2 linked regions of the Lonchura striata genome follow. The protein of the gene in region 1 purifies or fractionates together with the protein of each later gene. This does not show direct contact. Links are inferred from orthologs where the notes say so. Each region holds a gene or a part of one and is shown on either strand. Other genes may lie near its edges. The genes, in order: MED16 and CDK19.

Region 1 (3,907 bases):
CGTGCGTGCGTGCGTGTTGGAGGGGTGCAGCCCCTTTCGGGGCTCTCTCTGCTTTTCCACAGCTGCCATGGGGGCAGATGGGGGCATTCTGGGGGTCTCTCTGTGTGCCCCCCGGCTTCGTGGCATGTGCCAAGGTTTGCTCGGGGCAGGGCGTGCCCTGGGGATCTTTGCTGGCTGCTTTGCCCCAGCATGATGACACCGACTGCCATTAACCGTGGGCACCCCCAGAGCCTGGGGAACCCCTCGTGGGCACCCCCAGAGCCAGGGGCGCCCCTCGCTCCTCCTTGGCTGGTGTGGCGTTCAGAAACAATAAAAACGGTGCTCCCCTACTCCGGCTCTGTGTCTCCATGTGGGGAGGGGGAGGAGGGAGGTTTTTGGGGGGTGGCGGAGCAGCTGGTGGGGCACGGGATGGAAAATGTGGGTGCGGGGAGGTGCGAAAAATATGGAACGCTTCACGAATTTGCGTGTCATCCTTGCGCAGGGGCCATGCTAATCTTCTCTGTATCGTTCCAATTTTAGTATATGTGCTGCCGAAGCGAGCACGAACTGCCCTGCACCCGCAGCGCTATTTAAAGACTCACAGAAATAATATTGTCATGATAGGGTGAATGAGGTGCGGCCCAATATTAGACGCGGAATGAGCTTCCCAAGTGTTTCTCAGTTTTTTTCTCTGTTATTTTCTTGGATTTTCCCCAAATTGTCCGAAATTCGCCGGTTATGTTTGCTATCTCTGCCCGATGCATTGTGGGTAGTTTGTTATGGTAATTATACCCTGCTGGATGGCTCTCTCTGCGGGGGTGTCTGTGGCAGTGCCTGAGCGCGCGGCGCAGGCGCGGGCCGGGCAGCCCGCGGGCGGGCCGGGGTCCTGCAGAGCGGCGGGCGCCGGTGAGGGCGGCGGGACCGGGAACGGACCGGGAACGGGCCGGGAACGGGCCGGGAGCCTCCCGCGGCCTCCCCGCGACCCCCCGGAACCTCCGGGACCGTCCCCGGCGAGGGGGGACGATCCTCCTGCCCGCCGTACGGTCGGTACCCGCGGGCCGCTCCCCCCGGGACCGCCGCGGTTTGTCCCGGTGCGGGGCTGTTCCCACCCGTGTCCCCAGGGCTGTGCCCCCCCCCATGGCCCCTGAGGTTGGGATTCCCTGTGTGTGACCGGCCTTGTGTCGCCCCCAGGCAGGACCGAGGCTGTCCCGTGTCCAGTATCCCGTGTCCAGTGTACCGTGTCCGGTGTACCGTGTCCGGTGTACCGTGTCCCGGTGGGATGGATCTGGCCTACGTGTGCGAGTGGGAGAAGAAGCCCAAAAGCAACCACTGCCCCTCCATCCCGCTGGTGTGCGCCTGGTCCTGCCGCAACCTCATCGCCTTCACCACGGACCTCCGCAATGAAGAGGAGAAAGGTACCGGGAGCCCCTCGGGAAATCCCTGCTGGCAGCTCCCGGTGCTCCCGGGAGAGGCCAGGATCCGCCGGGCCGCAGCTCTGCCCTGCCCCGGGCAGTTCCGGGCTGCTGCTCCTCCTTTTCCTTCTATCCCTCAGCCTCTGGCAGCGTCTCACACGCGTTTGTTTCCTCTAAACCAGCACCGACTTCCCAAATCTACACCATGCTGGCTCCTCACTGAGCTCCCAGCAGAGTTGCTACCCTGCCCCAAATGATTTCTATAAAATATTTTATATTTTCCCTGCACCAGCTGAGGCTCAGGAGCAGTGCCAAGGCACAGGGAGTCACTTCTCTGTTCACACAGATCTCACCCACATGGTCCATATCATCGACACCGAGCACCCCTGGGATGTCTACTCTGTGAACTCGGGCCACACCGAAGTCATCACCTGTTTGGAGTGGGATCAGTCAGGTGGGCTGGGCTCCCTCCACATTGGCACCGTGTCCCACCCCTGCTGTGTATGTCCCCAAGGGGTGGGCTGTGATTCCTTGTGGGGTTTTGGCTGTTTCCCCCATTCTCATGCAGTGTCACTGTCACAGGCTCCAGGCTGCAATTCCTTGTGGGGTTTTCTCTGTTCCCCCATTCTCATGCAGTGTCACTGTCACAGGCTGTAATTCCTTGTGGGGTTTTGTCCATTCTCCCCCATTCTCATGCAGTGTCACTGTCACAGGCTCCAGGCTGCTCTCAGCAGATGCTGATGGCCACATCAAGTGCTGGGGCATGACAGATCACCTGGCCAACAGCTGGGAGAACACGGTGGGCAGCGTGGTGGAGGGGGACCCGGTGGTGGCCCTGTCCTGGCTGCACAACGGCGTCAAGCTGGCTCTGCACGTGGAGAAGGTTTGTCTCAGCTCCGTGGGGGATCTGGGCTGGAGCTCTGGCTCAGGTCTTGGCAGAGAACTCAGGATCCTGCCTGTGTTCCGTGCTCTGGGCTCTCTTGTGGCCTTGGGGAATTTTTGCAGTCAGAGAGAAGTCAGATTCCTGGTTCCTGCTGAGTTCTGAGGGGGGTTGGAGCCTTGTTTCTTTTGGTGTTTCAGGTGTGTCTCTCCTAGTTTGGTACCTCATTTCTAGGCAGGAACACGGAGATAGAGCAGTTCTTTCCTCACCTGTGGTGATTCAGAGAAAATGCATATGGAGTGCTGAGGTTTGATCTGGGCATTTGTGCACAGACCTCAGCTCCTCATGTGTGATCCTGCAGACTCTGAAAGCCCAAAGCTGCCGAGCACAAGTTCCCTGCTTGTGTTGGGGATGTCCCACATAAATCCTGCCCCTGTCCCTCGAGAAGAGCCCCGCAGGCACAAATTTTGGCCGCAAACACTTTGGTTTTGCTGACCTTTGTTACAGTCCGGAGCCTCGAACTTCGGCGAGAAGTTCTCGCGGGTGAAATTCTCCCCGTCGCTGACGCTGTTTGGGGGGAAGCCCATGGAGGGCTGGATTGCTGTGACCATCAGCGGGCTGGTCACCGTGTCCCTCCTCAAGCCCAACGGGCAGGTGCTGACGGCCACCGAGAGCCTGTGCCGCCTGCGCTGCCGCGTGGCCTTGGCCGACGTCGCCTTCACGGGCGGGGGCAACATCGTGGTGGCCACGTCCGACGGCAGCAGCACGTCCCCCGTGCAGTTCTACAAGGTGTGTGTCAGCGTGGTGAACGAGAAGTGCAAGATCGACACCGAGATCCTGCCCTCCCTCTTCATGCGCTGCACCACCGACCCCGCGCGCAAGGACAAGTACCCGGCCATCACCCACCTGAAGTTCCTGGCTCGGGACATGTCAGAGCAGGTGGGAAGCTGCTCTCTGCTCCACCTGGTCTTCCTCACAGGGTCTGGGGTGGCCAGCTGTTGGATAGATAAATGTAATTATTCATAAATAATACAGCCAAGATGAGAACGGTCCTCCCTGCTAGCCGGACAATGTCCCTGCCTACAGATGGGTCCAGGGGTCAAGTGGACTGTTCCATCTCACCCCCCAAAATGTACGGTTCACCCCACACCTGTAACCCTCCCCTAAAACATCAGGTGTCTGTAACCCCATTGGCCCAAGTCTTGTTCCAGCCTGTTGCAGAGGATAGATAGATATGATTGTTATTTTAGCTAGCCGGATGTCACTTCTACCCTTGGATGAATCCTGGAGTGAAATGGACTGTTCCATCCCACCCTGCAAAAAATTGTGGTTCATCCCGCACCTCTGTACCTGCCCCTAAAACAGAGTCTGTAACCCCATTGGCCCATACCTTGTCCCAGCCCACCTGGGAGCCCCTAATAAGGGGGCTCTGAGCGGCCATGCGGCCTCTTGGCCCTCTCCTCCCCTCTTGGACTTCCTCTCTCCCTGGGGCTTCCCCTCTCCTAAACCCTCCGTTTCTCTCTCCCCTCCCCCGTCCTCCTAAGCCCAGCCACGTGCTACGCCTGAGAGCACGAGGCTTGGGCATCCCTGAATTCTCCAATAAACCTCTTCCCCCAAGAGCAAGCTTCAGAGATCT
Region 2 (3,907 bases), on another chromosome or scaffold:
ATTTAATTCTGCTTCATTCACTTGCTGCTGGCGGGAGTAATCGAAGGTTGAACACACAAGGTGGACGCTCAAGTGCTTTGCTTCTAGAGTGGGATGTAACCTGCAGGTCAGGTCAAGGCTGACCTTACACTCCCTACAGCTCCCTGAAAGGAAGCTGTAGGTGCGGGTCAGCCTCTTCTCCCAGACAACAGGTGACGGGATGAGAGGAGATCATCTCAAGCTGCTCCACTGGGGGCTTATGCTGGACATGAGGAAGAATTTCTTTACAGACAGGGTCATTAGATTTTGGAATGGAATGCCTGGAGAGGTGGTGGAGTCACCATCTCTGGAGATATTTAGGGAAAGAACGGACATGGCACTTAGCGCCACGGCCTGTAGTTGATATGGTGGTGTTTGGTCATGGACTGGATTCGCTCTCAGAGGTCTTTTCCAGCCTGACTGACTCTGTGATTCTGTGTGACTCTTCGTACAGTTGCCTCTGCCTGGCACTTCCATAATGCAAGTAAGATTGCAGACTGGTGCTTTTCACAAAAAAAGATCTTCGAGAGACCAAGACATAACATTAAAAGGCCTGAATGTTTCTGTGATCTCAAAGTGCTTTGACGAAATCTGAACCCCAAAGCAGCGCCGCGTTTATCTAAAAATCTCTCTGCTCGGGGCTGAAGGGGCACAGCCTTGCTACGGCATCGGATCATAAAGACGCAGCAATACGCCTGGCTTCTATCCGAGCGCAAACACAGTATGTACCCCCGTATTTCTGTAAGCGACCGGTTTATTTAGCAGCACCTAACGACGCGAATCCTAGCAGGATTCCCGTTTCCAACATGGACCCGCAGCGCCAAGCCCTGGAGCCGGCCGGGCCCGGCCCCGCCCGCCGCACGGCGGGGCAGCACTGACCAATCACAGGGCAGCATCCCGCAGGGAGGCGGGGCCGGACCGTGAATGGCAGCTGGCGAGATAAACAAGTCGCCGCACTGTTCGGCGCCCCGCAGCATGGGTGCGTGTGCACTGTCTGCTCCTCTGTTCCTCCCTCCATCTCTCCCTGCCAGCCAGAGGCGCCGCGTCCGGCTGTGCTCGCCGCTCCCGCCTGTGCGCGCAATGTGAAGAGTCAGCAAGTTCCCAGCGGCCGCTGAAACGCTCCGGTGTCTCCGGAGAGGGCAGTGCGCCGACGCCGCCCGGCCGGGGTGGCCCGAGGCATGCCGGGAGTTGTAGTTCTGCCGCTACGGCGTCCTGCCTGCGGCGGCGGGGCCGGCTCCCGCAGCCGCACTACGACTCCCGGCACCTCGCGCGCCGCGCCGCGAGGAGCCCAGTTGAAGCGGGTGGCGGCGGCGGAGCGCGCCCCCTCCCCCCCGCCGAAAAGCCCCAAACCAAAACAAAAACAAACCGGCCCCCCGTCCCCCTCGCCCGCCGCCCCCGCCGAGCCCCGGACATGGCGGCGCCGGGAGGGGGCTCCGCCAGCTGCGGCTGCTGATCCGGCCGCCGCGTCCCCCTGCCCGCCCGTCCCTCCCCGCCCATGGGCGAGACATGGACTACGAGTTCAAGTCGAAGCTGGCGGCCGAGCGCGAGCGGGTGGAGGACCTGTTCGAGTACGAGGGATGCAAGGTGGGCAGAGGCACCTACGGGCACGTCTACAAGGCCCGCCGCAAGGACGGGTAAGGGCCGCGCCGAGAACCCCCTTCCAACCCCCCCATCCCCCCGCACCAGCGCCCTCCCCTCCCTCCCTCCCTCCTCGGAAAGTTTCTGGCAGCGCGGGGGCCGGAGCGCGGAGCCCGCCCGGGTAGCGCCCGCCCCGCGCCGGGAGCGGGCCCCCTGCCCCGGCCCCGGCGCCGCTGCCCGGCTGCTCAGAGCGACGGAATCGGTTATCTGGAAGAAACCTCTGAGATCATCGAGCCCACCCTGTGACCGTACATCACCATGTTCAGCTATACCGTGGCACCGAGTGCCACATCCAGTTTTTCCTTAAACACCTCCAGAGACGGAGATTCCACCACCTCTCTGGGCGGCTCATTCCAATGTCTAATCACCCTCTATGTAAGCAGTCCTACCTAATGTTCAACCTAAAGCTCGTCCCGCTCTGCCCCGTTTTCCCCCCGCCATCCCTGGTGGTGCGGTGTCAGCAGGCTGTGCCCTGGGGTCGCCTTTGCTTTGCACGCCGTGTTTCAGGTCGTCGCTTTCGTCTTTTGTGTGACCGCGTTCGTAATTTGACGGTCTGTTCCGATTACTGGCAGGGGATTGAGAAGGGAGGAGCACCTGGCTCCCGACGGCCCCTCCCCGGCTGCTCCCTCCCTGTGTGTTGGTCCCTGGTGTGTCCCCAGCCCCAGGCACCCTGCTGGTGCCAGTGCCGGGCAAGCTTGGCTTGATGGCCTGTCCGGGATGCTCCTTGTAGGCAGAGCTGGTGGCTTCTGTCCAGTACCAATGCACAGGTGTGTCTCCATCAGTTTCCCATGAAAGAGCAGGATACAAGTCCCTGTCCCTAAACACTTGGCTGGTGGCTTTATACAGAGAGTCCTTTAGGCGTTAAGCCCATGTATGTTGGCTAAGCAAGGTTTATTCTCTTCTTTGGGGAAAGCCAGTATCATGGGATAAGTATTCCATGGATGCTGTTTTCACAGTATTGTGGTTAAGAGAGCAGTGGGGAGGTAGGGTTGCAATTTGAGATTGTTTGACTGGCATACAGTTGTTAAAGGGGAGCAGTCCTGAGGCCTGAGCAAGGCTTTGTGCAGGTGTGGGTTCCAAATGGAATAATTTGCTTTCAGAAGAGCCATTGAGCACTTTTTCACTGTGATGTGTGCCTGGTGCACAAACCCAGGCTGTGTTTTCAGAGTGTTCTAAGCATACTGTAAGGTTGGATAAAATATACCTGTGAATTACAGGTGATTCCTTTCTGTCAGAATGTTAAAGGGAATAGCCTTCCATTATAGCCAATGGAAACTTTGAAAAAGAAGAGACTGAACGTGGAAAAATGACAACTTTTATTTAAAATTTTGGAAGTGGTTAATGGAATGCTGCTGCTTTAGATTAGTAGAGAAGTCTAGGGATTCTTCTGTAGGATTAAATGGCATTCTTGTGTGTCGTGAAAATTTAAACTCTGAATTAGGAGGTTGTAGTATAAAAGTGATTAATAACTGAAAGGTAGACACTAATTCCAGTGAAGGATTAACTACCCAGAAATGAGCTCTGATTCTGACTAGCTTGCTCTGCAACCTTAGGAATACTAGAGCGTAACTAACTTGAAATATCAAAGCTTTTCCAGGTATTACAGTGCCACTGAGCTCTTCCAATATTTTTGAGTTAAGTGATCCTGGTTGCTTCTTTTTCCTAATTATTAATTTATATATATATATGTAAAACATACATGGGATAGGAGGAAAGTGGTAATAAGGAAAGGAAGCAGTAACAAAACCACCAAAAATGCTAGTTAGATGTCTGTTGCTGTTCTTTGATATAGTAAGCCTAAAATTGCTGCTTGTATGAACAGCATAAAAAACGGCAGCACTTGGATTTACTGTTTCAAGAAAGAAAGAAATTCGGAGTAAGTTAAAGTCAGACATTTTTCCTTTCCATCATCTGAAAGGAAAGCCATCACAGGAATTATATTGCTGCTACAAAGCACCATAAAGAACATGTCTTCAAAATCCCTAATGATATGACAAATGCAAATGGGTAGTAAAGCAAAAGTAAATATGATAAAAAGATAGCTAATGTGTCAGAGCTGGGAATAATCAAAGGGAGACCTTGAGCTGTAAGACAACTAACTGGTAAAAGGAAGTGCAAAGTTTCAGTGCTGTCAGATAGATTGACATATAATATAACATGGCACAAATTCAACTGTACTATATACTCAGAGGCTTTACTTCATGAAGTTTGAAAGTGACTTATTTTTTCTCTTTTTTCTTTATATTAATTT

Evidence for each region.
Region 2: the proteins of MED16 (region 1) and CDK19 purify together in Homo sapiens (affinity purification with mass spectrometry; 6 studies listed by BioGRID and IntAct, counting the BioPlex papers as one, with this or other methods). This does not show direct contact. The link is inferred for Lonchura striata from reciprocal best matches to the Homo sapiens genes MED16 and CDK19.

What each region holds. Positions count from the first base shown.
Region 1 is NC_134630.1:4,456,170-4,460,076, reverse strand, and holds the start of MED16 (mediator of RNA polymerase II transcription subunit 16), read left to right. Parts: upstream 1-865; 5' UTR 866-885; intron 886-913; exon of another isoform or gene 914-1,022; intron 1,023-1,170; 5' UTR 1,171-1,258; coding exon 1,259-1,394; intron 1,395-1,737; coding exon 1,738-1,845; intron 1,846-2,104; coding exon 2,105-2,274; intron 2,275-2,778; coding exon 2,779-3,210; intron 3,211-3,907. UniProt on the Homo sapiens protein: Component of the Mediator complex, a coactivator involved in the regulated transcription of nearly all RNA polymerase II-dependent genes.
Region 2 is NC_134605.1:68,779,172-68,783,078, forward strand, and holds the start of CDK19 (cyclin-dependent kinase 19), read left to right. Parts: upstream 1-1,421; 5' UTR 1,422-1,524; coding exon 1,525-1,652; intron 1,653-3,907.